3 linked regions of the Danio rerio genome follow. The protein of the gene in region 1 purifies or fractionates together with the protein of each later gene. This does not show direct contact. Links are inferred from orthologs where the notes say so. Each region holds a gene or a part of one and is shown in the gene's direction. Other genes may lie near its edges. The genes, in order: axin1, ppp2r5a and dvl1b.

Region 1 (10,180 bases):
CATCTGTTTTATATGTAGCAAAACCATAGTTAGTTTTCATTAGGTCTGAATACATATATATATATATATATATATATATATATATATATATATATATATATATATATATATATATATATATATATATATAAAGTTGAAGTCAGAATTATTAGCCCCCCTAAATTATTAGCGCCCCTGTTTATTTTTTCACCAATTTCTGTTTAATGGAGAGATTTTTTCAACACATTTCTGAACATAATATTTTTAATAACTTATTTCTATTAACTGATTTATTTTATCTTTGCCATGATGAAAGTACATGATATTTTACTGGATATTTTTTCAAGACACTTCTATACATTTAAAGGCTTAACTAGGCTAATTAGGTTAATTAGGCAAGTTAGGGTAATTAGACAAGTTATTGTATAACGATGGTTTGTTCTGTAGACTATCAAAAAAATAATAATAATAATTTAGCTTAAAGGGGCTAATAATTTTGTCCTTAAAATGATGTTTAAATTAAAAACTAATTTTATTCTAGAGATAAAATAAACATGACTTTCTCCAGAAGAAAAAATATTATCAGACATACTGTGAACATTTTCTTGCTCTGTTAAACATAATTTGGAAAAAATATAAAAAAAGAAAAAAAGGGGACTAATAATTTTGACTTCAACTGTATATAAGCATACAATCCATTGTAAAGAATGTACTTCAATCCCTCACAGTCTTGTTTTTCAGTCTTGTTAAAATTAAGCATGGCAGTAAGTACATGTACTGTGTTAATAATGTAAAGAAACCATATGTAGGCCTACATTAACCCTTGAACTGCCCCAACAAGAAAAAAAATATTTTCTCTTAATGTCACTAGTTAACACACTTAATGCAATTTTTTTCCATAATTTCTAAAATATCAATCTCTACTAAATGGTTGATATGTCAGTTTATGGTAAAAGTACCGGAATTATACATTTACGATGAAAAATCAGAAAACGAAGTGTAAAACCAATTTACTTAAAAAATAATCAAAATAAAACATTTTTGAATACTAAATCACCTTTATTTTTTGAAGTATGCCATAAAATATTTCAGATTAACATGTTTTTTTTTTAACAATAAAACCAAAATCAAGTGAAGTAGTGCAACAGGATTATGTCTTGATTGTTTTGTAAATGAACAATGCTGTGTGTACGTGTAAACCATTATTTAAATGACTTAAACAGTCAAAACAAGGTCAACCATTTGGTAGATTGGGCAGTCAAAGGGTTAAGTACATTTTCACAGGTGGTGTTCACCTGCATTTTTAAATTATAAATTGCATTTGATTTGACATTAAGGGGAATACTTTTCACCCCCCTTCTTCTGTCATAATGCACAGCAAGAGTTTTAAAGCCAACGATAAACTTCCGGTGAAAGCTTAATGTGAGTATTTTCAATTTCACATGGTTGTTTTTACAGCATCGATGTTGTCATTACAATACATTCAGTTAAATAGACTAATCATTTAGCAATCATTTAGTTGCTCAAGCATAAAATAAGATGAAAGACCGTTGTAACCGCAGCATTAGGCTGGCGCAGAAATTTCTTTGAAAATGTTGGGGTGAAATAAACTGTTAGCAGGGGGAAATGGAATTTAATGCAGTGCTTCTTGTCCGATCTGAGACCCACTTCATATCATATATATTTAACAGGCAGTGAAGATCGCTGATTTTTATAGAAATCAGATCTTAAATGTGAAAGTTTTGTAATGGAAAGACAGTTCAGAGGAAGCCCCCTTGGGCTGCCTGGCTGAAAATGAAGTCTGTATGCATATAGCCGATTAACAGTGTGTTTTCACTGCTGTCGTTTTAGGGTGTTTTATTGTTTGTATGTTCATACATTGGATGTCAAGTGACTGCTTTCAACATCCTTCAGAATATCTTGTTTTGTGTTTAACTGAAGAAATAAAATCATAAAAAGTTTAGAACCACTTGAGTGGAAGAAAATGGTGAGGGAATTTTCATTTTAGGTGAACTATCCCATTTAATGGAAATGTCTGTAAACTAGCCCTGACAGGAAATCCCCAATACCTTTTGCTTTTATTTATTTACTTTACACACCATAGAGTGTATATTGAGCTTATTTTGTTTAAATCAGCGCCCGTAAAGTAATAAACACAAACGGTCAACACAGCTGGTCATGTGATGTCAACATGGCGGCGTCCATAAGGGGGCGACCCGCTCACCCTAGCCTAAAACAGCTCTTCCCGAAGACTCCAAACGCGTCTCATCATCAAGTGTACATCACTTTAATTACGCCGTTTCCTTCCAAACCTTTTAATTAGCAACTGCAGACTGACAGCACCTTCGAGTGCGGCGTAAGAGGATTGAAGGCGCTCCTCTTCTTCTTCGTCTTCTCACTCCAGGGTTTCCTCGCCTTGATTTTTCTTTTCTCCAGGCGGCAGTGTGATTTCTGGCCGTGCGCGGCGCTGCACATCTCCAGCTCCCCTCTCTCTCTTTCTCGCTCACTCGCACACGGGCACAGGAGTGCGAGAGACAGCCATGGAGAGGTGGAGAAGCGACTGTTTTCTTTGTTATTTTTAAACTCCGAGATCCGCATCGATGACACGATTCACATCTCGCCGCATACAACGCTATTCCCGATGCGCTCGAAAGCGGAAAGTAGGTTCTCACAGGTACAGTACGGAGCACTTTTTTCTTTCCTTCTCCTGGCTTGGGTGTAATGGGGGTTTGCGGTAACGGAGGGAGAGAGAGAGAGATAGATATAGAGAGATGAAATGCACCGTCGCTTTTTCTCGCTGCTCGCGCCCGAATCCTCCGTCAGGTCGAGAGCGCGCTTATAATGCTCTCGCGCTCGGATGATCGGCGCGTGTTGGAGTGCGAAAATCAGTGTTGCAAAGTTGCACACTAGTCCCTGGGCTGCGGAAGGGCCTGGCTGTGTGTGTGTGTGTGTGTGTATGTGTGTGTATGGAGTTTGTTTCTTACTTTCCCCTCCCCCATCCGCTCCTGCTGCTGCTGCTGAGGCCGAGACATGAATGCGATGAATGTGGGGCTCACTTCAAAGCAGATCGCGAGGGCAGCGAAAGGGGTGTTGTAATGTCGTCAGCGGAGGAAAAAACGCAGCGATCCGTTTTTAGATGGCCGCGCCGCGTAACGTTAAGTGGGATGATCGGCGTTTGCGGTGCGTAAAGATGGCTAGCGTGCTGTGACAACGTGTTCTCACACTAGTTGAGTCGGATCCGTGGAGCGGATCAGCGGGGAGAGCTCGCTAGAAATGTCGGCTCGTGCGCTCAAAGATGGTGAAAGTGTTTTTTTCGCCGTCTACGCTCACTTGTGAGGGAAGGTCTCGCGCCGCACGTACTTCCTCCCCTCGCGCGCTACCCTCTTTGATGCGGTTGATGTTCGTCATATTTGTTTTTGACTTGTGCTTGTTGTTTTTTTGCGTCGTAGCTGTACACAATATACACTTCTAGTGTGGTTTAATTTAGATAACAACATCCCCGTTTGCGTAAAATGTTTCTAAATGCGCGTCTCGCGCTGGATTAGCCTGCTAGCTCATCGCCATTGAAGTTCGCGCTGTTAAAGTTATTGACTCGGAAAGCTCAAGGTTTCTTTCCTCCCCAGCTCGCTTATCAAGCACATCAGACGCAATCTAGTTGGCAGGCAGTCACAGGTTTTAAGGTCGGAACTTGAAAGTGTTGGATTTATGGTGTCATAAAGCGTGTCACAGGTGAGTTCAAGAGTGTTTGTGCCATGATGGCTGCCCCCTTTTTGCTATCTCTGCTTTAAGATAGTCGCCCGAGGCCACTGGAAGTTTGATGGGCTTGTAGCGCTGTGCTGTGTTTGATTAAACTTTGATAACACTGGTTTTATGTTGCCCGAAAGGTCTACTGAGGTGTCATTACCGTTTGAGTTGCTGTTACAATGTTATTGACTATTATCTGATTAGTGCCGTGGTTCTTTGTGGTGGCATTTAATTTAGCTGTAATGTTTGTTACATGTACTTACTAATGCAGTGCAGTACATTAAAAGCAACTAAAGTTGTTTTATAGTTAGTACATTGTGAATACATTTAATGATTTCTGTATTTTCCTTGTAACAAGGTATTGAGGTAAAGTTGGTTTTATATTCACACATTTAGACCTCCTTAATAATATAATTTCAGCAATGCAATTTTTGCAATTTATAAATAGTTAAAACATGATGTACAACATTATTCACAGTCAAATAAATAGTGCTAATGTTGTTTTGAAGTCATAATTACATCTAATTTCTGACTGAATGTTCAAAGTATCATGGTTAACACTATAGGGATAATTTCACAAGTTGTCATTGAACAAATGTGTGAAAATAAAAGCAACTTTGCCTTATCATCTTGTCTTATAAAGGTGCATAATTCATATAAGGGATGCGTTTTGTGACAGTGAAGATTCTTTAAATACGGGTTACATCAGCTTCATATGGTATGACCCAGGAACTAAGAAACAGTACATGCACTTACTATAACAATGCAGTAAATGAAATGCACATAACTACAAGCATTTCCCAGTGATGGGTTGCAGCTGGAAGGGCTTCTGTTGCGTAAAACATATCCTGGATAAGTTGGCGGTTCATTCCGCTGTGGGGACCCCGGATTAATAAAGGGACTAAAGCAAATAGAAAATGAATGAATGAATGAATTACAAGCAGCCAAAGTTGTCTCATAGTAAATACATTGTGAATGTTGCCCTATACTGATTTGTTTATATTCTCTGTAACGGGGACACCTTATGTAAGATGCAACCTCATCATCTTGTATTATAAAGGTGCATAATTCATGTTAGGGATGCGTTTTGTGACAGTGAAGGTTCTTTAAATACTGGGAACATCAGCTTTTAAATATGGTATGGCCCAGGAACTAAAAGAAACAATAGATGTGCCTTCTATAGCAATGCAGTAAATGAAATGTGCATAATTACATGCATTATCCAGTGCTGGGTTGCTGCTGGAAGGGCTTCTGCTGCGTAAAACACATGCTGGATAAGTTGGCGGTTCATTCTGCTGTGGCGACCCTGGATTAATAAAGGGACTATGCTTAAAAGAAAATGAATGAATGATTGAATTACAAGCAGTCAAAGTTGTCTCATAGTAAATATGTTGTGAATATTGGCCTATACTGATTTGTGTATGTACCCTGTAACAAGGACACCCTTATGTAAAATGTAACCTCATCATCTTGTCTTATAAAGGTACATAATTCATAATAGGGTTACATCCGTGACACTTGAGACCCTCTAAGTGATCCAAAAATGGTAACTTACTGTATGTGTAGGGCCAGACAGAATCTGCGGACATTTTTTGCCATTTCTGCAGAGAATTTAGTAAAAGTTGCGGATTTACATGGAATGATTTTAGGAGTATCCTAACTAAAAACTTAATATATTAAATAAAATCCAATTGGATCCACTTATTTAATAAACTCTCATATAATATATCTACTAAAAGACCAAAAGTATTACTTAACTGTATTATTATTATTAAATCATGAACATTTAAAAATGACTATTATTAAATCACAATAATATTAGTGAAATCATTACAGAAACTGATTAAAAATAAGTTTACACACATTTACACAAGTAAATACACCACAAGTAAATATGTAGACTCAATGATAGGCTGGAAATCTGCAGATTTCTGCGTGCGCGGATTCCGTGTGGGGCTACTCATGTGTAAGATATTTAATTACATTTATTTACAAACCTGTGTTTTTGAAACAAATGAAGATGGCAGAATGATCAATTCGATGATGTGAATTATTTAGCCTGACATGCCAGCAGGCACACCCAAATTCATGTCAGTCACTTGATTTTTAAAATAAATGTTCTGCAAGAGCTTTATTGAATGCTTTCTTTTTTCTCGTTGTCTTTCTCATGCAGGAGGAATTCTTTCGCAGTGGCATTAATAGAAGTCTGGATATAAACTTTCTGCCTCGTGGGCTGTACTGGGACAGAGTGCAGGGACACTATGAGCATGAGTGTAAACGAGAAGGGCATCTGTTATCTGCCAGACCTGGGCAGCAGCTTCACTGAGGATGCCCCCAGACCCCCGGTCCCTGGGGAGGAGGGCGATTTGGTGTCCAGCGATGGACGGCAATACAACCACAGTTTTTACTCGTCCAAAAGCGACAGCCTCAAGAACGAGGCCTCCATAGCTACGCCTAGACGACCCGACCTGGACCTGGGCTATGAGCCCGAGGGTAGCGCTTCCCCAACGCCGCCCTATTTAAAATGGGCGGAATCCTTACACTCGCTGCTGGACGACCAAGACGGCATCCACTTGTTTAGGACTTTCCTCAAGCAAGAGGAGTGCGCGGATATGCTGGACTTCTGGTTCGCTTGCAGCGGATTCCGCAAGCAAGAGGCCAACGATGGCAACGAGAAGATGCTGAAACTCGCGAAGGCCATTTACAAAAAGTACATCCTGGATAACAATGGAATCGTATCCCGGCAGATCAAACCCGCCACCAAGAGCTTCATCAAAGACTGCGTGATGAAGCTGCACATCGATCCGGCTATGTTCGACCAGGCGCAGACGGAAATTCAGACTATGATGGAGGAGAACACCTACCCTTTGTTTTTAAAGTCCGACATTTACTTGGAGTACACCAGGACTGGCGGAGAGAGTCCCAAACTGTTTAGCGACCAGAGCTCGGTGTCAGGCAACGGCAAAGTCTTGCCGGGCTACTTGCCGACTGTGATCGAAGACGTGGAGTGGAGGTGCGACCAGGAGGAGGAGCAGATCGCGGAAAGTGACCCCACTCCCAGCAACAGGCTCACCCAGAAGCTGCTTCTGGAAACGGTGCCTCAGCGGGTGGCCAACAGTAAAAGATATCAGGACAACCGTGAGTACAGGTAAATCCCTGCAGCTTTGAAAAAAACTCCTCTCTCTCTCTCTCTCTTTCTGTCTTCTTCCATCCCCCTTCCCCCTCGCGGTGCAAGCGCAGTCAGAAGAAAAAGATAAAACGGGAATCTGAGTTAAGCACAGCCTTCCACAGGAGATGAGAGGAATGCAGTATAGGCAGAAAGCTCTAAGTAGCTGCGACTGAGCTAGCAAGACAGATACTGGGTCGCAGCGTTGTCTTTGCCTACTGCGAGTTGGTGCAAGTGGGTGCTCTTTGTGTTCTCCATGCAGGTGTCTCTTGAATGGCAGGCTTTGCAGCAGAATAAAGGTTTCTTCAGGAGAACCACAACACGGATTCTCTTTAGAATGGGCACAAAGACGCTGCACTGCATATTTAGTGCAGGAAAGAGAAAGCAATGCACAGCACTCCAAAAAGTTTGGCAGCATTGATTTAACCGGTGCTTTTACGTATATCTGATCCGGTGCCCTTTGAAGCCCAGTGCTGCGTATGGATTCGGTGCGTTTCTGAACGTGTTTAGATCTCTATCTCTCATGCCACCCGTGGTTTGCGTGCCGAGCGAGCGTATTGGAATGTGTGCTTCAGGTATTGTATTTTGTAATGAATTTTTGCTGCTCAGACATTCCCCAGGCATTCCTCGCCACCAGTTGTGACGGCCCATTGTGCTCTTTTAGCGCACGGAGCTTTCTTGTTCATATCGTGCATCGCGCCGACATCGTTTAATCTGCAGAGACGTGCTTTTTAAGCCGCACTGTGAAATTTACAGCAAATCACTTGATGCATCAGAGCCTCGAGTCCCTCCATATGAGCAAAATGGGATTTAGAGATGTGACTGCTAAATACTTTAATCCTTGTCCTGCTGGAATAGAAAGCGGTGCATGTGGGCCTTTGAACAGCCTCTGCTGAAGATTACAAAGCTTTCCATCCCAGATTTAAAAGCAAATATCGACAGGTGCATTCACCGTGGCATATCAAAGCAATAACTGCTCCAGGTATGCAGTGTTTGTAGGCCTTTGCCAGAGTACAAACAATTTTTGGTTGCAGTTTACGTGCGCTGTTATTACTCTAGCTGCTTTTATGCTGTCAGGTACACACAATGCAACATATTTAATACATTAAATGCATCTTACCACATCACAGTCCAGAAAATCAGAAGTTGACAAAATTATCAATCAGTCCAATTAATAATTGGTTATTTATGTCAAGAACTGTTCTTTTTGCACTTACAAGGACAATATCTTCTCTGTGAATCTGTTTTCTATCATCTCAAATAATTAAATGCAACCAATCTGAGTTTTTTTTTCAAATGTTACCAATGCTATTAGCAACAATTCATTATATTTGCATACAAGATGTACTTTACTAAAGCTGTGTTTCTCAACCACGTTCCTGGAGGATCACCTTCTCTGCATATTTTCCATGTCTTTTTAGCTAAAACACACCTGATTCAGATCATCAGCTCATTCACTGAGACTGAAAGACCTGTAATGGGTGTGACAAAGGGGGCATCCAAAACATGCAGTGTTGGTGGTCCCCCAGGAATGTGGTTGAGAAACACTGCACTAAAGGACCTTAATGTGGAGTAGGGCAGCAGAATCATGATTAAAACATGCAATTTACTCCCCCATAGACTTCCATGTAAATGCACGCAAATGCGGTAATGCAAGCTCATGCGACAAGTTTCGCAGTTCACTGCATTGCAAATTTTAAGCTTGGTGAAATTGCATCACGTTACTGTGAGAGACCAATCGAAGATCAAAACATCACCTCAGTGTACAGAAATTTAAAATATGGACCAATCCCTGCATTTTTTAAATGTTTAAAATCGTCTTTATTTTTTGTGCAGCGCCATACGACAGAATTTTGCAAGCTCAATTTCTAGTGTGACTGCATCACAACATAAGTCTTTTTAACATAGTTAAAATTGTAATGATTATTCATGTCAGTTTATAATAGAATACTTATTAAAATAATTTAGAGTTTGAGCAAGTAGCATATTCTAGCTACACATGACATATGCAAGTCAAATATTAGTCTAGTGCTACTTGTGGACTTTTCACATTAATCACTTCATGAATCACTTGCATATCTGCACTTTGTTTTTTATAATGAGAGATTCCATAATAATTCTGTCAGTGAGCTTGAACACACTTGACAACTAGTAGGCTGTGACTAATCTAAATGCCTCTGATTGCACTTATTGCTTTTACATGTGCATTTATAAGCTCAACAGAAACCTCAATGATTGTTTATACTGCTCATCCATGCACATTTTGCTTTCGCCAAAGCTGTAATTTTGAATGATGACTCCTTTTTTGAACTCATGTAACATTTTTGCCTATTTTTGTGGAGTTTTGACTGGTCTGCATGCCTGGGTGAAGCTAAGCAAAATTTTTTTTTTTAGATAGCTCTGATAGTCTGCCTTAAAATCAGACTTTGTTACTTCAAACCTCAGACTTTTTTTTCCCTCTGTGAACACATTTTGAGGGCTGTGGTATTTAGGGAAAATACCTAATTGTGAAATATTTATTTATTTATTTTTTTGACAGATATTGAAATTGCGATTTGATTTACGATACAATTTTGTGGTCAAGCTTCAGTTCAATAATCTGCAAGCCATTGCAACAATTGTGTGACAGCTCTTAAAAATTGCCTGTTTTTGTTCGGTGTCTGAGTTTGAAACCAAAATATTCCCATATTACTAATGCTATTTTTCTTTAGTACAATAGATAAGTCTTAATGATAGAGGAGACTCTTCTATTAATGATTCTGAAATAGCAGATGCCATTATCCCACTTGTCTGCGCTTTCGTCTTTTTTATTTATTTATTTTTTTTTATATTTATTGTGAGCGTTCCACATAGTTTGGTTGCACAATTCTGATTGGGCAGAACGAAAGTCTGCTCATTCAATTGGCTAGTAAGACTGTTACAAACAGACGGCAGGTGAAATAAAAAAATACATATTTCTAATCATAGCGTCGTGGAATTAAACAAAATGCAACATTTCAAATTGCGATTGCAATTTAATTTCGATTAATCGCACAGCCCTAGTCCCCAATTAAAAATTTTTTGGTCCATACAGTGGAAGTCAGTAACATTCAGAAGTAAGGCATACATGTTTTAAAAGAATTATAGAATTAAAAAATGCCAGGATTTCAGTTTTTGGTTAAATATCCATTTAAAAACTTAAATACCTGATTTCTAGCTTTTTGGACTAGCATTTACAGTGTTTTTTTAAAGACAAGCTATTGTTTTTAGTCTGACTTGAATCAAACTTTTCTCCCCAGTTTCAGAAGCTTA
Region 2 (10,280 bases), on another chromosome or scaffold:
AGCGGGTTTGCGGCAGGGGCGAGGCGGAGGATCGGCGATGCCAGCTCAGCATTGTGTCGTCTATTAGCCATCAGCGATGGATAATAACATCATCTATCGGCCCAACCCTACTACCTACATACATACCTACCTCTGGTGTTCTGGAGGAAATGTACTGTTGATCACATTACTGTACTTTTCTCATATGATGTGCAAGAAAGTTACAACTTACAAATATGCTAATTTGATTTATTTGTTGATTCGTTGTTAAGCCCTACTTTACAGTAATCATTTTGTTAACAAAACTAAAGGCTTTTGCATACCAGGATGATTTTTTAATGGTGCTATTTCCCATCAAAGTCATATCACCCTACAGCCCAAGACTGGTTACTCACTAAAGCAAAGCAGGACTAAGCCTTGTCAGTATCTGGATGGGAAACCACAGAGGAAAATTAGGTAGCTGTCTAAAGTGGTGTTATTGAAACCAGAAAGGGGCCCCCCAAATCCCTCCTCGCTCTTCAGAGATGTACCGCTGGATCGCATCTCACTATAGTTGTTTACACCTCTTTCCTGACTTTGAAAATATAATTGGCTGAATTGTATAAAAACCTGAATTAAAAATTATGCGTTTAGCGTAGAATCAAGATTGTGATCTTTTTTTGATTAATTGGCAGCTCTATATTGAATGATGCATCAAAGAGGCTTGATTGCAAATCACTGCCACCTTACAGATGAAAATCCAATGTATAGCATGATAAATATTCCAGAACAGTTAGCTGACTCGATCTCAAATTGGGTCAGATGTAGTGATGAGCGGCAGCCACTGCAAACTGCTGATGCTTAAAGTCATATTGTGTGAAATAGATATAACCTAACTGAAAACTAAGCCCTCTTTAGTATCTAATGATATCCATGTCATCCTGTCTTGAGCCATGGGCACAGTAGATTTTGAGCATGCAAAATAGTTGTTTGGTGCTGCGAAAAAAGGCGGTATAAAACTAGATGATGCGACCTCACTAAAAAGTATTTATTGTTCCATATTTTACATTTCTGTACAGAGAGGTCATGTCTTGAACTTCTGTTGGTCTCTCGCATTTACAGGCCAGAGTTCACCAAAATTGAACTTTGGAATGCAGTAACTTGCGAAACTACTAACAGGACAAACTTGCGTTTCCTGCCTAGCACATTTTCGTACCTATGAATTAAAATTCTATGGGGCAAAAATGTAGCGTGACCACAGCATTAGTGTCAGGAAAAAGCTTGTCAACTAACAATGTTTCCCCTTATTTTTATTAACAGTTATAACAACAATGATTTGATGTTTTTTAATATAATCAATTGTCCGCTTTTTCAGTGGCCTCAAATATGTTTGTTTTTTGCCTAATAAAGAGGACAAAGTTTGAAGATTTAGACCTATTAAACGTTGCAAATAAAAAAGTGTTTATTAATATATCAAGTTTTGTTTCTGCATCAACTAAAACTGCAGACTAAAAGATCAATCATGGAATTTAAAAAATAATAATGATTTGTTTAAATTAAGAAAAATTAGGCCAATAAAACAAATCTAACTGTGCTTTCAACACTTTGGACTGCACTCTGGTTTATTTGGCGTCAAAGTACAGTGCGTTTAGCTAGTGTGAATGTGTCTTCTGAACTCGGGTGTGCACCCACAAATCGTACCCGAGTCTGAGGTGGTCTTAAGTATGGTTTGTGCAAACTCTCGTACCGTTTACTGATATGACTGCAATAGAACCAAATAGCGGCAGTGAACCGTCAACTGTACAACATACTATTGTTTTCATTGCGTTTATTCGTGTGTTTGTATGTTGCCTACCTTGGTGACAAGCGGGACTGAGTCAGTGCAAACAGTGATAATGTCTGCTTTTCTCCACCAAAACTTCTTGTGATGTTCTGAATGTTTTAATTTTTTTATTATTTTTTTTCAGGCTGATATTTGCAAGTGGCTGTGTGTTTTAGTTTTGGTAAAAAAAAAAAAAAAAAGTCAAATTATATGGATATGCAGTTTTGGAAACTAAACTCTTCAGTACGTTTTTCATTCAAATACCATAACACCTCACAGTTAAGAATAGAGTTTTTAAATTTATATTTCAAAAGATTTTTTTTTTTTTTTTTTTTTTTTTACTTGATCATTAAAGACTCTTTAAATTCTAGTATTAGAGTTTCCACAATGTAAACACAATATTAACACTAAGAAATCTGTCTTCATCATTAAATCATGTTTTAAAAATTTCGGAAATATAATGTGTTGCAAAACACTAAAGTAATTGCTGCTGATAAATCAGCTTTTGCGTTTTAGGAATAAAAAAAATTTTAAGTTTTCTTTTTGTGTTCATTTTTCACAATGGAAGGGTTAAGGGAAATGCCTTGGTATGCATCTTTTAAAAAATGCATATTATATAAAAAAGCTTCTGATTCTTGAAATACATTTTCAGTATTAATTTGTTTATATTCTTCTCTCTAGGCAGCAGTCTCACCTCGTCCCATGAAAGTTTTCTCTCCACCAACAAACAAGAAAGCATCACCTTCCAAACCTATGAAAAAAATCTCAAGCTACTTTATGAAAAGAACCCAAGACTGACGTGCATGGGTGCATGCCTGCATGCCTGTGTGCGTGCATGTTTAAAGAGATTACAAGTGTCTTTCATTCTACACATTTATGGTTTAAATTCAGTTTCAGCTTTTCTTGTAACTGAGCTTCAAACCAAACCTAGAAAAGATTTGCAGATTCTGCCTGTATTTATGTATGTAATGTGTATTTTTTTATCTAGTTGTGCATTTATTTTTAAATGTGTAAAAATATTTTTCTAGAAAAGGGTCAAATGTATGATCATTTACAGTCATTTGACACCACAGTTGAATTCTAAAGTTTCTCTGATACCTTCATGTCTGTCAGACAGTTTGAAACACTTTGCTCCATTTAACATGCTTTTTAAACTATATTAAATTATATTTGGGTGTTATAATCAGTGTTATATCATACTTTATTTTTTATTCCAATTCTAATACTTATTTCCAAATGTGTAATGCCCTTTATTTGAGATTGTCCTTAAACGTGGGTCACATTTTCAGTTCTCTATTGATTGTAAAGCAGCACTTTACATAACTAATCCATTTCCAATTAGCCCACTGCTTTTTACGTATTGAATCTCTATAATGCAGTAGGGTTTTTTTTTTTTTTTGTAATGATTTAAATACCTTTTACATTATAGCACAGCCTTTTTTTCTTTTTGTAAGTTTGTGTGAATAGCTAGAATGTCACTTAACTAGAAAGATCTGCCTCAAAGTTTTCATCCTGCTTGTTATTTTGTTTTATTTTCACTATATCTTCAGCATGGTGGGTCAGATATGCTTTTTGCATACAGAAACTTAATTTTAGCTATAGAAATATGCCTTGTTCACCTAGACATGGCCTAGCAAACAATTTTAGATGTCTGTTAGGTATCAAAACGTTGAAGGATTGGCTAAAACAAGCCTAAACTTGGGCTGTCATTGAAAATCTAATAGATTAATCTAATATAATAGCCCAAAACTATAGTCGTCAAATAGACAGATTAGACTATGTGTGTATTAATTTCTGTTTATGTAATAACTAGTCTAGTTTTGGCATATTCTTAGACATCCATTAGATTTTCACTGACAGCCCAAATGTAGCCTTGTTTCAGCTAAGACCACTGTCTAGACGTATATTAGACATTTTTTATAAACAAAAAAGGAAGTTGTTTTAAACATTTTCTGTAAAAATGTGATCGTTTAAATTATTCTCATAAAAAAGTTACATTTATTTGCGTTCTAACTACGAATATTGATTATGCGTTTGTTTTATTTCTCAATTTGAGGATTGTCCCTTTCTCCTTTGACAAGGCTCCAAGTTCAACTAACTCTCACAGTGTTTCTCTTTAAAATGTTTAATTGTGGACGTTGTTTTTCCTGTATGTTTGTTTTATTTTATAATTTTATTTATTTATTTTATTATTTTTTTTTTTTTGAGTGGTTGAACGTTTGTTGAAGTTTTGTTGCATGTTTTCATGCGAGTTCAAGGATACAGTATCTTTTTATTTGTGTGTTTCCCTAAATACCATTAAAACAAGAATCTGATTGGTCAGTGGGCGGAGCTTGGTGTTTGTGCTGGCGCTCGTTGGACGAACATGCTGTCACTCAAACGCGCCACGGGGTTTTATTTTTAGACTCCATTGAGGCGCAACAGCAGCTGAATGAAGTTCAGCGGGTCTGAGGAATTTTACCCTCGGCGGATTCGCATTAAACTCTTTTCCTCATATGGAGTGTCTCCTTGGATAAACGCGACTGCATTTTTGTACTCGACATTGTTATATGGTTTTGTAAACATTTAAGCATGATAAAAGCACGTCAGTAACTAACGTCTACGTTTATACGTCATCTTAGGGTACCTGTGGATCATCATGCAGCCTCCGCGAGTGGGCTGACAGTGTCACATTAGATGGGGTCTCGTGAGTTTAATGCATAGCACAGTCAATGGGATGTCTGCACTCAAGTCTAGAGAACATTTAGGGCACACTCGTTCACTGTAGGCGCAGCTTTTTTTTTTTTTTTTTTTTTTTTTTGCTAGATCTGCTCTGGAAATGTCGGCGATTTCTGCGTCGGAGAAAGTGGACGGGTTCACGCGGAAGTCTGTGAGGAAGGCGCAAAGGCAGAGGGTATGCCAGGGCTCGTCTCAATTTGCGGTCAACAGCAGCAGGCCTGCGGCTCCAGAGATCTCGGCGCTCCCGCAGCTCAAAGGTAAGAGGATAAAGCTCTGCAAATATACACTCGCGGGCTGCGTCTTAAACACTGGGCAGCTGTCTAAAATATAAAGGAGCTCCTATAAAGGAAGTTCCCTTCATAAAAATGTGCTGTCGTTTATAGGAAGCACTAGTGTTTTTGAACCACACTATAGTAAAGTTTATTCGGGATGTTTACTGCAGGTATATATTATAGTGTTTATCTATAGCAAACTGATATACTAATAAATAATGTGGTATACTGGTGTATTGTAGTATGATATAATGTTACTATATTTGTAGAAGGTTTGTACAGTAACAATTTGTTTGTTAATGTTACTGTATTGCTGTTTCAATAGAAACTTTAGAATTACCACAACACAGTAATTCAAGTACAACTATACTATATAAAAGCCACCATATTTTCCAGAAATTACTTTAGTTAGTTTTTTTTTTTATGTTGAAAGTAATCAATCTTGGCATTACAGGTAGCTTGAGTTACATAATCAAGTAACCAAGGTTTGCGTTACTTATTACCAAAATAAGCAACGGTGAACTAAAATATGACTTTTTTTTTTCCTTCAATTTTATACGGTTCCTTTTACATCATTGATGTTGTAATGCAATTAAAATATAATCTGTTAAAAAGACTTAAGCGTTCATTTAGTTATCTAAATGAACTTAGTTCATATTTCAAAGACAAAAAAAAAAATAATTTGATGCAGTGCTTTTTCTATATTCTTAGACCTGCTTTATAGCGTATAGCATTTAGGCAGTGAAGATCCTTGATTTTTAAAGAAAACAGTTCTTATAAATGCACAGATTTTGTATCTGTTCACCGGAAGCACTTGACCCTGGTTACTGCAAAATTAAAAGGCCATCCGAATACTTCTGCAAATATATCCTATTTGAAAAAAAAAAAAATGGTGAGCAAGTGTAGAATACAAATGTATGCATTGAGCACAAATATATTCATACTGTAATTATACCTTAATTGGGTTGGTACACCCCCCTCCCCCAAAAAGTCTGTTATTACCCCTACTTCGTTCCAATCTCGTAAAGGGGTGTTCCACTATGATATAGTGATTGGAATTTCAGATCATTTTATTGACTCGGATCTTTGAGTCTCGTTCGTCGAGATGAACAAAACTTTTATCGAGTCATTTCGTTTATTTGGTTCAATTTTCCAAAAGAATTGCTTCCAAACACATCTACAACTAGCCCAAAAGGTTGATTACACAACAAATAAGTCATAAATAGAATACTATAAGAAGGAGAAAATAATAATTCAATGTTTACACGCTCTTTTGTCTATGAAGGTATTGTGGTCTCTTTGCTTAGCTCACCTCTTCATGCCTTCAAATGTCAGTGGTTCGTTCACGTTACACTGACAGTCACATATAATCTTAATTAAAGTACACAATCTGAGCCAATAGGAGCCATGATAATTAGTTCACCTTTTCGAGTCTTCGAGTCTTTCATTCATCATGTGACAGAATGACTCAAACCCAAGAACTTGATAGGTGACCGGATCAATTATTTTTCCGGCTCTAAACGCATATGATTGGCCTGTGAGGAAAGAATGACTCAAACCCGAAAGAGGACTCGATAGATGAATGGATCTATTCTTTTACCGACTCTAAACGCATATGATTGGCCTGTGGGGAACGGATGACTCAAACCCGATAGACGACTTGAGAGATGAACGGATCAATTCTTTTTCTGTCTCTAAACGCATATGATTGGCTTCTCCCTTTCCGCGATGAACGACTCAAAAGATACCACCTGCACAAATGTATGCACGCGCGAATGAATAAATCACTCCCTGAGAGGGCTTGTAGTTCAGAAGTCATATTAAAGATTCGTTCAAAATGAACGAATTGTTCAAGAACGACCCATCACTACTATGATATCATATTTTAAACACTTAAAGGGTGACGAAACACCAAAACACATTTTTTAAAATGTTGACACTTGACAGTCGTATATGTGTCCCACACTGCTAAAAACACTATTAGGACACATATATCTCACTAAAAAGTAAAAATTAGTTGTTTTTGCGTTATTTTGAGCAAATTCGTACTTCCGGTTTAAAACTAATTTTTGAAGCTGCATCACGGCCATGAGATCTTAGCGTGTATTCCAGCTTGCAGACGGGACGTCTGTACCTCAGCGTCCCGTATTATGTTTCTGAGTGTGTTGCATTCATTCATGAGTAAGGCTTGGTTCAAACCAATCAGAGCGCTCATTATGTATGTTGCTGCATGCAACTTCATTAATATGCATGCTAGCTTTTTTAGACTGTACCTGAAACAGTGTTCAGACGGCAGAGAGACAACACACGTTGTGTTGCCAAACGTTGTGGGAAAAGAATAAGAACTGTTTGGAGATACGGGTCGCCAGTGTTGCTTTCATCATGTGAAGGTTTTATTTCATTTTCTCTTCATGAGAGCGCTGCTTAACCCACGTGAGAGGAAAAAAAATTTCTCACATCAATAGTGAGATCCGGATTTGATGCTCCAGTATGTGCTGATTGCCCTGTCTACAGATTCTGTAAGTTTGTGCAATCAGTGCCCTTTCTTTCTTCATTCAGATGGCAAAGTTATAGTTCGTATGGTCGGCAGTACTCTTTCAGTGTATAAAGACAGACCTTAGTCAAAATGATTTCTAAGTTACTTAGTTTACAGTACGTTAATATCACTACAATATTGAAAGATCCGCTGTAAATGCTGCTCTCTGAGTGTAAACACGTGAACACTGTAAGCAAACTTTTGCCGACCGTCGTGTTAAATTTTTGCTGCATTTTGTGACAGGATAGTCTACACACACACAGCTTTCTGACCTACTGAGTGCATATGAGTTACAGAGAAATGCAGAGGCTTTTTTCTCTTATACGACGTGTGGTATCAAACATTTCACTGTCATTAAACACACTGTCTTTCTTCCCTGCGTGTGTGTTTGTTTTTTCTCGGTTCTCAGCGCGTGCCCAAATGGCAACTCCCATTTTTATTCAAACCCTGCCCATTTTCCCTCCCCCCGACACTCCCACCCAAACAGAGCTAGACACACCCACTTTCCTGACTTTTTCCAAACTAGAGGTGTGAAAACAAGGCCCGCCCTCAAGTGACTGATTGGTCATCTATCATAGAATGCTGTGATTTGCAGATTGGCTCCAACAGTCAGTCAACCTCATGCCTGCCTTCTAAAATAAAATCTGACAAGTGTCTGCGTGTGTGCGTGTGTGTGCGTGTGTGTGTGTGCGTGTGTGTGTGTGTGTGTGTATGTGTGTGTGTGTGTGTGTGTGTGTGTGTGTGTGCGCGTGTGCGCGTGCGCGCGTGCGTGCGTGCGTGCGAGCGAGAGAGAGAGAATTGCCTGTAGACGCGTGTAACACGAGAAGTGCATGTCGGGACCAATGTCTCTTTTTCTCTGATGCTCGGATTAAGTTATTTTCTGTAATATACAGTATCACTGTTGACTGAAGAATAAAGCACAAGATGTGGGATGCAACCTGTGTGAGCCTTGATTGATTTTTCTGCTGCAACACGAGTAAGGCGAGTTCCCCTGTATTTTTTTCTACTCAATGCATTACACAACATTTTTACATATATTCGGAATATGCATGTGTAAGTAATATGAATCATTAACATATCTTTTGCGAGTTCATTATCTGAGATGTAGAACGCAGTCACACGCATAGAGAGACACGCACATGCTGGTGTGTGTTTTCACAGCGGTTTGACTAATAAATATGAATTTGTAGCTAAATTGTCAGCAGTGCCAAACAGCATTTCCCGTTGTTTACATCTTTGCTACAGCAGACTGTTAACGCTAGAAATTGTACATGTCATGATCAATTTTAACACATAAAAACACATATAGATTGTGGCTTAGAGTTCACAGCCTCTGCTTGTTGGAGCTGCTCCTTCTCTGAGGAGATTTAACTGAATCCAGCACTGAACTAGGAGAGATTCTGGAAGTTGTGTTTAGTCAAATCATGCTTGCTGTGTTAGGGTTGGGCGATGTTGATCAATTTGGCATCGTACAATGTCTAATGTGAAACATCGCGATGAACGATGCCATTAATAATGAATTAATTAATTGTAGTCTACCATTTTCACTACATGACCCAGATGATCTTTGCTTTACATATAACCAAACCATAAATAAAGTTACAAACAAATGACCACCTGTCAATCCATTTTTTCCGCAGGACTCTGTCATGAATAGGCACAGTGATCTGTGTTGTTCTAATGGCTTTTTCCCAAAGCCGGTGAAGGAGATGAGAGTTTGGTTGGAGTTCACTGTAGTTCATACATTTTCATAGTTTTCCCTGCAAAATCCACACCGCGTGCGCAGATTTAGGAGACATTTATGCAGAATGTATCGTTGCACCTAAAAACGCTAAGCGCAGCACTCAGGAACAGATTAAAACAGTTGTTATGTGAACTTGCTGAAGTAAAAAAGCCAGCAACGCTTGCCCTGCCTTTGTGCTCTTATTAATGGCTCACTGCTCTAGAACTGAACATGAATGATTGGTTAATATCTCCTGTCAATCACTCAGTCAATGCCTTCTGCCTTTAGGACAGGAGCTACAACTGTGAAAATGTGAAGATGAAGATGAGAGAATGAAAATAACAAATAAATAACACATTTACCTACAGTTACTAATAATAGCAGATCTTATTAGTGATCATGTGCTTAATGTTAATCCCCCATTTACAAGAGAGGATAAAAGACTTCCAATGTCCAAAGTCCGCTATGAAAATGACTAAAGCCACTCACTATAAAGTCTGTGGGACGGGGTTTGCAGGTAACAGCATTTTCCATTGAATCTACACAATTTAAACGCAAAAGGAGCTGTATATTCTTTCATTTAATTCTCACGATGTTGTCAGCCGTGCAAGCGGCAGCTATATGTAACATGTACACAGCTCATGAAAAGACCGTTATTAAAAGATGACATGCAAATCATAAGTTGTATATCATCAAGGTCTTCTTTTGCATTGAACTATGAACATTTTACATGCAGATATGTTGTTTATGTTCACACTGCTACATTACACAACAACTAAAGTTTGAAATATGAAATCGTTGTAGACCATCCCTTTAAATATTTTAGATGAAACCCGGGAGCTCTCTCATCCTCAATAGACAGCAAAGTTCCCGAAAAGGAACCAAAAGCTTTCCACGTCACTCAACTGTAGTCAAGTTCCAAGAAGACTTCAGATTAATTTAGAGTTACATCTTTTTACCAAAATGAGTATCGGCGATAAAGTTTCTTACCCCCTTCCACTTTTTTATTCACTGACTGCACTCATATTACAATATTTGAAAGAAATAAAAGAATGCAGATGTGTGCCATGAGCTTAAAATTATTCTTACTGTAGGTATACGTTAAAACTGGTTGGTACAATATATATATATATATATATATATATATATATATATATGTATGTATGTATGTCGTTCAAATCCTCCTTCGTTTATCTTCAGAACACAAAAAGGAACTAAAACATGTCAAAACAAACATGTTATTTAGCTGTA
Region 3 (10,280 bases), on another chromosome or scaffold:
TTCTTTCTTTTGTTAAACACAAAAGAAGATATTTAGAAAAATGTTAAAAACATGTAAGCATTGATTTCTATACTTTCCTTCTAGGGAAGTTAATTCTAAAGTCTAATTATTTTCTTATGTGTTCAACAGAAGAAAACAACTTGTAAATGTTTGGAAACACTCGAGGGAGAGTAAATAATGAGTAAAAATTCTTTTTTTGCATGAACTACTCCTTTAATTAAATCACACTCAATTATATTTTGCCTATAAAGCTGAATTTGGTCTGTTTGGTCATGTAAAAGCTCATAATTTAGCCCAGGTTGAATTAAAACATCAAAAAGGCTTAATAAATTATGTTATAAATGTTAAACCTACACTTTTACAGGTAAGCACAATTAATTTAGTCAAATTATTTCATAGTGCAAGTCAGGATAATATTGTAAACGCATTTAAATCTTTTCTTTTTTGTTCATTTTGATGACTGTTACCATTTAACAAGCTACATTTCTTTCATTTCATTTATATCCTGTCACCAACAAATACTGTTATCATTTGTATATTTTCATATTAACTTTACAAGCCTTACTAACTTCTTTGTCACTGTTTGAATATTCTATTAGTTCAATGTATTTGCTTCCATGCTCTCTTCTAACCGCCAGCTTTGTGTTCATTAGCAAACAAGTTAGAGTGAAACTGATGCTAATCCATTAAGGTACAACATGAAGTCAATTTTATTTTAGCAGCTTGTACACGGCTGTGTATATTCATAGCCGTGAACATTTCTTCTCTGGGTTACTCAGATCTGTGTTATGCGTAGTTGTATCTTATTAAGGTGAAGCTATGAAGCAATGCTTATGCCTGTTATGATCATTTCATGACACTTTAACTGCCCTTTGAATTTCTTTAAAGCTTCCGTGTAAGAATTTCACAAGGTTGCAGGAGGAATTTTCTGGTTTGATGCTATATAATGGATGCTTGATTATTCTCATCCTGAAGCAGTTTTAGTATTGATGACCTTATTTTCGAGTTCGCTGCCATGTTCAAAGCAGAATCAAATAAATTCAAATAAAAGTTAACCTCTGGATTACTTTGGTTTGATGTAGGTTTTTTTTTTCAGTTCATATTACATTGTAGGCTCAAGTGCATCAATAGGCTTGATGTTTTTGATACTGGGAAGAGATGTTATAATTCAACAAAAAGCAAAATGTCTAATGGACTGCAATAAGACGATGACTGTAGTGTTGCTTAATTTGATTGACATTTCCTGTGATTTTGCCTGGAGTGACATCAGGACTGTCAAAACAATAATTCAGGCATTAAAACATTTTATATTTGACGCACAGCACTGAAAAATGTCTAACACAATGTTCATATATATAATGACAAAGATCTAATTCATTATTAATAATTATTATTCAAACAAATACATTTTTTTCTGAGTGAATGTGTGTTATATGTTTATGAGAAGAATTATTAATAAAAACAGCAAAATAAACCACAAAAGGCTAAGAAATCTCTGTAATTCTTTTTTGTGACTTAAACTATAATCAAAATTACAATAAAATGATAGAAACATATAAAAACAAAACCAAATGACAAAATGACTAACCCTTAGATAAAAGTATAAAAGTCAAAATTTTGAGAAATTATTTTTTATTTCTGGGACGACGCAGTGGCGCAATAGGTAGTGCTTCACAGCAAGAAGGTCGCTGGGTTGCTGGTTCAAACCTCGGCTCAGTTGTCAGTTCTGTGTGGAGTTTGCATGTTCTCCCTGTGTTTGCGAGGGTTTCCTCCGGGTGCTCCAGTTTTCCCCACAGACCAAAGACGTGCAGTACAGGTGAATTGGGAAGGCTAAATTGTCCGTAGTGTACGTGTGTGTGTGGATGTTTCCCAGAGATGGGTTGCAGCTGGAAGGGCATCCGCTGCGTAAAAACATACTGGATAAGTTGGCGGTTCATTCTGCTGTGGCGACCCCGGATTAATAAAGAGACTAAGCCGACAAGAAAATGAATGAATGAAACAAAAGAAACTATTTCAGCTACTTCACCAAGGAATTATAATAAACTATGAACCATAAAATATGACATAATTTATTAAATATAAAGTAAGTAAATACAAATGTATTCAAAAACAAACAAACAACAAGATGACTAACACTTTGTACAGATAAAATTATACAAATCAAAATTGGGAATTTTGAGAAATTATTTTTTAAATTCTATGAACCATAAACATAATTTAATAAATGTAAAGAAGCAAACATTAATAGCTTTCGGATATGACACTGCCCAGTTGTTTCCTTTTTTTTGTGCACCATATAAAATTAATTACAAGCTTGATTATGAGCAGCGATAAATATAAACTAAAAACAATGAAACTACAATCATTTTGGTAAATGAAACAACCAAACAAACAAAAAAAAAAAAACATTAACAGAAAGAAAAACAAGAAACTAATTTAATTTCGACTAGTTCACCAAGGAATTATGTACAATTTTCATTTAGTTACATTTAAAATAGCAGAAAATAAAATAAAAATAAAAAGGTCAGACTAAATACAGATCCAAAAACAAACAAACAACAAAATTACTAACACTTTTTTTTAGATAAAATTATACGAATCAAAATTGGGAATTTTGAGAATATTTTTTTTAATTCTATGAAACAAAATACAACATCATTTAATAAATATAAATAAGCAAATGTTAAGTAAATTGCTTTCTAATATGATTGACAGTTCCCAGTTGTTTTCTTTTCTTTTTTGTGCACCACAATTCATTAATAACTTGATTATATGAGCAGCAATAAATAAAAACTAAATCTAAAACAATGAGGGGGTGTCACATTTACTACACTTATATTAATTTGTATATACATTACATTTTGATTCATACAATGCCACACAAAACTATGGAAGTTTTTTCCTAACAAAATAAAAATAAAAATTCAAATGCCTAAAATCAAATAATAAATCAAACTCTCAAAACAACTACCCAAATAATAAATCAAATGCTCAAACTATAAATCAAATACTCAAATCCACAACACAAATGACAAATCAAAACCTCAAACTGGCATTGAAAATGGTGAATCAAATAATCCAACCGACTCAGCAAAAGGTGAATCAAAACATCAACCCTTGTTAGGAAACCTTAAACATTGTTAGGAAAAAACCAACATATAAAACAAAAACAAAAAAAACGAATTTAAATAATTATATTTATATATTTTTTAGTCAAATCATTTTAATTTACCGCTTCATTTCCCGCTGCCGCTGGAGTCCAGACTGGCCATGTCTTGTCTTCTGTCTACCGCACGATGGCAGCACTGCGCCGGAGAACAGCTCGGATATTCCAGCCTGATTCTCTCAAGGATGTGAACCTTTCCTTCCTGTTTCAGTAACACAGGCAGCAAAACCTCCGCATAGTGAGCCGCACCAGACATCTATCAGGCCTCCATAATGGCTCTGCTCTTATCCCTAGCTTTAAAATGTCGCTTAATCCATAGCTTCAATCGCGCCAAACGCGTGATTGCGTTCATTTAGCATCCATCATCCCAGACCTTTTTATTTATTGTCGCCGCACGTCTGGACTGGCAGGCAGCATCAGGAACACGCGCTGTTCTCCGGCAATTGTTCTCACCATATTCTCATGGCGGAGACTAAAATCATATACCACATAGACGAGGAGGAAACTCCCTATTTAGTCAAACTGTCAGTGGCTCCGGAGAAGGTAACTTTGGCGGATTTCAAAAATGTCCTCAGCAACCGACCGGTCAACAGCTATAAATTCTTCTTCAAATCTATGGACCAGGATTTCGGGTGAGTGAGAGGATGCCAGGTGTTATTGTGTTCCTTCATTTGTGGTATGCAGAACGAAGCTGTCATTGATGGCGGTAATGGTTTTGTCACGTTGGCACCTGCCTGTCAGTGCTGATGATGTCTGTATCAGCATCACCATCATCTCCTCCTTTGTGGGCTCAGCATCAGGACAGATAGAGTCATGTCCAATATGCTGTAGCGCGACGTACAGTCCGTCTCTTTGCTTCTGTGATTTGAATTTTGAACTGGTTTGTTTTGCATGGTAACCGAAGTTTGACCTTTCAAGACAACCAGCATTAACTGGCTAAAAATGATTGACTCCTGATTTATTTGTATATTATGGACTTCTTGTTGTGTCTGTGTTTTCTGTCAGCTTATATTGTTGATTTATTTTCTGTCAGCTTATGAAATCTTTCTTCGCTGGATTACTGGGATAAAATAAATAGGAATACATCTTAGCTTGGCCAAGCTGTTGTTAGGGTGTGTTCACACTTGTAGTTCGGTTCTCTTGGTCCTGCTAAGAAAGATTATGATATATTTGCACTTGGCGTTCACACTGCTCATGTTTTCGATTTAAGGCTGAACCAAAATATACAATATTTTACATTTTGTAGTAAAGGTTTAAGCATAAATTGTGTGCTGTAATTAGCATTGGGTAAGTTGAACAAAGTAATTAATCACTAATTACAAAGTACTTCATTAAAATTGTTTTTGAATTATTTTTCTAATTACTCTGTCTGAAAAGTTATTTAGTTACTTCTTTAAAAGCCTTTAAATCTCAGTGCATAAACAATATAAATAAAACTCTTTAAATACTTCAAATTTGAGTCAAACTCATATCTATCAAAATATGAAAAGTAATAATGGCACCATTTTTCATACACATCACCTTGTTATTCTTTTCTGACTCAATTTAATAATTTCTGATTTCCTTAAGCTTGTGCAGTGGTCGGACAAATCTTTACTCTCTCTGCTGCTTAATCTGAAAAAGCTTTAACAAGAGCAGTCACAACAGAGATTGTTTTGATTGAACCAAACCTGCCAAATTTGAACATCGATACTTTGTTTTTCATGCTCTACCATTAGATTTATACAGCGACTCCGAAGGGATGTGATGGTCGGGAAAAAAATGGGTGGAAAAAAAAAATGATGAGTGATAGGACAAAAATATTTTTAAAAAATAAGTTTTTGCATTTCCTCTCAAAGATATTTGTGTTATCTCACAAAAATGTTTTGCATTATCTCACAAAACTTGTTCCGAAACACTTCCTGTTCACTTCATACATATCAATCCTCCCGTTTTTGCCGTATATATTCCCGCTCTATCCCACTATCATCTTGTTCAAGTATTTTCCCATATTTCTCCCATATTTTAATCTTAAAAACACATTGAAATGAATATAAAAATGTTTGCAATTTTCTTTCCATTAAAGCTCTGTGTCAATTGTCGGGCTTCCTATGCAACCCCTAAATCAGTGAATGCATAAGCGTTGACTGACTGATTGACGGACGCGCTTCGTATGATAAACTGATCCCAGATCAGATTCTGTACATGCCATTTAAAGAGGTGCTAACGTGCAGGACACTTTGAGTTTTGGGTGTGTGTTTACAGAAAATACACTTAATAATATGTAAACATGTCTGCAACTAATAATATTTTGATCTCAAACAGTTACTAAAGTAAAACTTTGTGAGGGAACATAAAAATATATTTTCCTATCACTCTTTTTTTTCCCACCCATTATTTCCCCACCATCACATGGCTTTCGGGTCTCTGTAGATTTGTGATGTAAATCCGAAGTCATTTTCTTTGCCTAGACCAGGGGTGCCCAATCCTTTTCCTGGAGATCTACCTTCCTTCAGATTTCAGCTGCAACCCTGAACCCTGAACACACCTGTTGTTAATTACCAAGTGCTCCTTCAGATCCTACTTATTTGGTTTAGTTGTGTTTCATCAGAGACAATAGCTGTTTCTCAATTTCAAGAACGCAGAGAACGGACTTGCGTTCTTGTGAACGAAAGAACGCACCTGGGAGACCGCGAAAACACAGAACACGTCCTCTGAGAAATGAGATGCTGCATTTTTCCTGATGGTCACATGATCTTTACACGTTTTTAACAGAAAATTATTTAAACATTACCACATTCATACGATTTAATGTTTTTCCCCTTTTCAATATATAACATGCACAAAAACCTTACAAATATACTTTGCCCAATACAAATAAAACAGATTTTGATACAAATTTCAGCAAATAAACAGCCCTAATGTGTTTATGCCTTTGTTTAAATATTTTATTAAATACTAATAAGACCAAAGAAATGATTGTTGATTTCAGTAGACATCCACCACGAGCGGTGCCAGTGATTAGACAGGAGTCAGCAATTGAGAATGTTTCATCATATAGGTACCTGGGTGTATATCTAAGTTTGATTGGTCTGAAAATACAATTCAGGTAAGAAGGGTCAGATTCATTCATTAAAACAACTGAGGTCCTTGTGTCAGACACTGTTAAAACTTTTAATGATCCTGTGGTGATTTCTGTGATCCTGTATGCTGTAAGCTGCTGGGGAAGGGGACTGTTGGAGAAGGAGAAGAACAAATGAAATATGCTCTTAAAAAGGGCAGGTTCTATTGTGGGGTGTGCACTACCCACTATAAAGGAGATGATCGAATGCTGGACAAATTTGTCATGATGAACCATGATAGTCATCCCCTTTTTGATATGGTCCAAGGGTGTGCAAGCTCTTTTTGTGCAAGATTAATTCAACCCTGGTGTTACAGAGAAAGATACTGGAAGTAATTTTTACCAACAGTGATCAGACTGTTTCACCAAAGTCACACCAGATGATTTGTACTAATTATAATCATTATTAGATATGGACAAGTGTTTACTCATTGTTTTTGGAACTGATGTATAGTATAATTGTAATTTTATTATTGTTTTTATATATATGTAACTTATTTGATCTATTTTAGTATGGAAAGCTATGCTGTGACGTGAATTTCCCATTTGCGGATTAATAAAGACAAACAAACAAACAAACAAACAATTTCAATTATTTATTATTCAATTGTTTATTTTCACCATCTCATTCAAAGAAACTCCTGAGATAAGTGAGTTCTATTCCTGAACTTAAATTATAAATATATATAATGTGCTGCGATTCAAACCTCTTTTATTCAGTCGCAATGACTTCTGGGACTTCTTGAGTGGTTTTTGTTCTCAGGTCTGCATTGAAGCATCCTCGATATCAAGAACACATCTGGGAAGTTCTTAAAGTCTTTGTTTTGGAACTGAACTTTGACGGTTGATGATGATGTTATATGAGTACAGTAAGACGCAAGATAGCTGAAGAACACATATTAAGATACAGCCATTTTGTATTAGTAAATGTTTTGATGGTTTGTGGCACCCTGTTTGATGAGGCTCCATATAAAATGCATTCTGGTGGCAGGAAAGAAGTTTTGCTGTTGGAAAGATTATCCACTCTAGTCTTGTCTGAGCAGTCTGATGTGATTGTCATCCTCTCTGTGAACAGCTGCCACTTTCCACATATAGGTTACAAAATAGGGCAGAAGTAGTAGGTTTCCTTCCAAGCAAATTGTCAGTGATAAGAGATGCTGATAAGATAAGAGATGATGAAAACGAAATATAGGACCTTATTGCAATGAGTGAGTAACATCACAATAGTGTGGCACAAATAAATGTAGCATTTTGTAAAACTGAGATTATATTTATAAATTATAAATTTTTTTATATAGATGTTTAATAATCAAATATATATTCAGAAAGGTAACTAAATGACTGTTGAATCAACAGCAGAATCAGAATGAGCTCATTGGTGAGTTTGTTTAAACACATAAGGATTTTTGGTAACACTATAATAACTGCATACTATGAATCATCTATTAAGCGTTAGCAAATAGGGAATTCGTTATCTGTTAAGCATCAACTCTACATTAATAAACGTTAGTAAGCAGTTTATAACTGCAGCTACAAATGCTCCATTCTTGACTTATAAGCACATTTATAATGTGCTTAATAATTGTTTTCATACTTTGTAAATGATTTATTTTTCATCACTAAATGAAGTATTGCATTATTTACAAAGCAGTTATATGAGCATAGTTAGTTGTTTTTTTAAGATCATTCAGAATGAGTTAGTAAATGATTAATTAACCATTCAAATTAATATTTATAATTTTTTATTATTCAGGCATATACTAATAGGCAATTTGTATCTTAATAAATGCTTTATAAAGTCAGCTTGATCTAGTTTTGTTACCTAATCTAAAGTAAGGACTATTTATGCTTTATAAATCCCTTTTAAATGACAATTAAAGGGTCAGTTCAATACTAAACAGGAAAAAAAAAAACATAAACGACTTTTCTATCATTTAAAGACAAACGAAACGAAACTGGTAAATATTTGCAATCTTAACTAAAATAAAATTACTGTACAGTTTGAACATTGCATATATTTTTTACTGTTGTTGTTTTATCCAATTTGATGCCATATTTAGACACTACTGTTATTCAGCAATGTTTAAACTACAGTAATTTTGCTTTTTAGATAAGATTGCAAAGATTATTGTTCATTTGATACTGAGGCTTTAATTGCCATTTATAAGGGATTTATAAAGCATAAATAGTCCTCACTTTAGATCAGGTGACAAAACTGCATGAAGTCGAGTAAATAAAGCATTTTTTAACAGAAGCAATTAACTATTAGTAGTTGCCCGATTAATAATATATACAGTACATGTTGATTACAATAGTTTATTAATCATTTATTAACTCATTCTAAATGATCTTAAAAACTTCCAACTACTCTTAAATACAAATGGTTTGTAAATAATGCAATACTGAATTTAGTAATGAAAAATCAACCAGTCACAAATGATAAAAGTACAATTATTAAGCACATTATAAAAGTAGTTATAAGTCAAGAATACAATATTTGTAGCTGCTTTTAGAAACTGCTTACTAACGTTAATTAATGTAGAGTTATTGCTTAACAAGTAATAAATACAGTAGATGCTAATGCTTAATAAATGAGGGTGTAGTTTTTATAAAGTGTTACCGGATTTTGTTTTGATGTCATAACCCATAGGGGCGTAATGCAGACTTGGAAAAAACTTCTGTAAAATAAAAACATTGAAAGTAAATGAAATATAATGCTGTACAGTAATACAAGCGAACATAAAAAGAAAAATAGTAATATAAATTATATGAGTAAATGATTTGACAGAACAGGTTGAAATTTGATGAATAAATATTTGCCTTTTTGAATTATTTTATTATTATATTTAAAATATTATTATTTTGTATATAATATTATTTTATATTCCTTTGTTTGGTGACTTTTATCAATGTTTTTGTATGATTAGATTTGCTTTTAGTCAAGTATTGCTGGTGGGTTTTGTGCTTTTTTTGGTTTGCTTATTTAATAGTTGAAATACTGAAATAGAAAGATTTTGGCAAAAAAAGTCCTATTTTTGGCATGAAATGTTTTGTAACATACTGTAAAAATCCAGTATATTGTAAATAACCATTTTGTTTTGTTTATTTTTGTACATTTTAATTGTGTTGTGCGACCTTGATTTCTGTGAAGTCCATTTTTGATCTTGAAACTTTAACCCAACTGTTTAACCAGGTGACCTTTCTGACATTTGTCATTTCAATAACAGAATGCCATCAAATGATACTTGATTCACATATACCTGACAAAGAGTTTTGGTAGGGCTGTGCAATTAATCGCAATCGCAATCGTGATTTGAAATGTTGTGATTAGCTAATCGCAAAGGCTGCGATATGAGATATATACACTCAAAAAATATCTTTTTTTCTTTCAAACTAATTATTTAAAATGAGCTGAAAAAATACAGTAAGGTTTCATTGGGACAACTTAATTTTTTTATATTTTCATAAATTTGATAAAAAGTGTTAAATTAACTTAATTTTTGTTGAGACAACATAAATAAATTGTGTTGTACCCTGCATTTTTTTCAGTGTATGTCTGAAAAATAAAAGTTAGAGTAAGTTAATATCTTTTTGGTTTCTTTTGAAAACACACTGCATTTTAGCAGCTACGATACAGAATGTTGAGCTGAAGTTTGAATACAAAAGTAAATCGCAAATCAAATCTAAATCGCTATATCTGTTAAAAAAAATCGCAATAAGATGTTTTCCCCAAATTGTACAGCCCTAGTTTTCGGTATATTAACAAAATGTTTTCTGTTCTGTACAAATCAGATTTTTTTAAAAGTTTAAAGTTCTTTAGTATATGGAGATCCTGATAAAGATTCATTGCAAGGCCTGTTGCCTTAGGCTCTTCATAGCAGAAAGCATCTTTGAATTGCTTCGAAGGTCATTAGCTCACAAACTGTTTTCAAGTGCTTGATTATTACTCATTATGGCTTCTCTTGGTGTCAGACTCGGGTTAATTATTGTTTTCTTTTCTAAACCTTTAATCAG

What was found.
Region 2: the proteins of axin1 (region 1) and ppp2r5a purify together in Homo sapiens (affinity purification with western blotting; 3 studies listed by BioGRID and IntAct, with this or other methods). This does not show direct contact. The link is inferred for Danio rerio from reciprocal best matches to the Homo sapiens genes AXIN1 and PPP2R5A.
Region 3: the proteins of axin1 (region 1) and dvl1b purify together in Homo sapiens (affinity purification with western blotting; 3 studies listed by BioGRID). This does not show direct contact. The link is inferred for Danio rerio from reciprocal best matches to the Homo sapiens genes AXIN1 and DVL1.

The regions. Positions count from the first base shown.
Region 1 is NC_133178.1:42,711,846-42,722,025, reverse strand, and holds part of axin1 (axin-1), read left to right. Parts: intron 1-2,484; exon of another isoform or gene 2,485-3,708; intron 3,709-5,896; 5' UTR 5,897-5,984; coding exon 5,985-6,871; intron 6,872-10,180. UniProt on the Homo sapiens protein: Component of the beta-catenin destruction complex required for regulating CTNNB1 levels through phosphorylation and ubiquitination, and modulating Wnt-signaling.
Region 2 is NC_133195.1:14,408,072-14,418,351, forward strand, and holds the start of ppp2r5a (serine/threonine-protein phosphatase 2A 56 kDa regulatory subunit alpha isoform), read left to right. Parts: upstream 1-4,182; 5' UTR 4,183-4,598; coding exon 4,599-4,755; intron 4,756-10,280. Other genes in the region: dtl (denticleless protein homolog), read left to right, coding at 2,462-2,578. UniProt on the Homo sapiens protein: The B regulatory subunit might modulate substrate selectivity and catalytic activity, and might also direct the localization of the catalytic enzyme to a particular subcellular compartment.
Region 3 is NC_133186.1:26,528,060-26,538,339, reverse strand, and holds the start of dvl1b (segment polarity protein dishevelled homolog DVL-1b), read left to right. Parts: upstream 1-3,353; 5' UTR 3,354-3,628; coding exon 3,629-3,798; exon of another isoform or gene 3,799-4,033; intron 4,034-10,280. UniProt on the Homo sapiens protein: Participates in Wnt signaling by binding to the cytoplasmic C-terminus of frizzled family members and transducing the Wnt signal to down-stream effectors. Plays a role both in canonical and non-canonical Wnt signaling.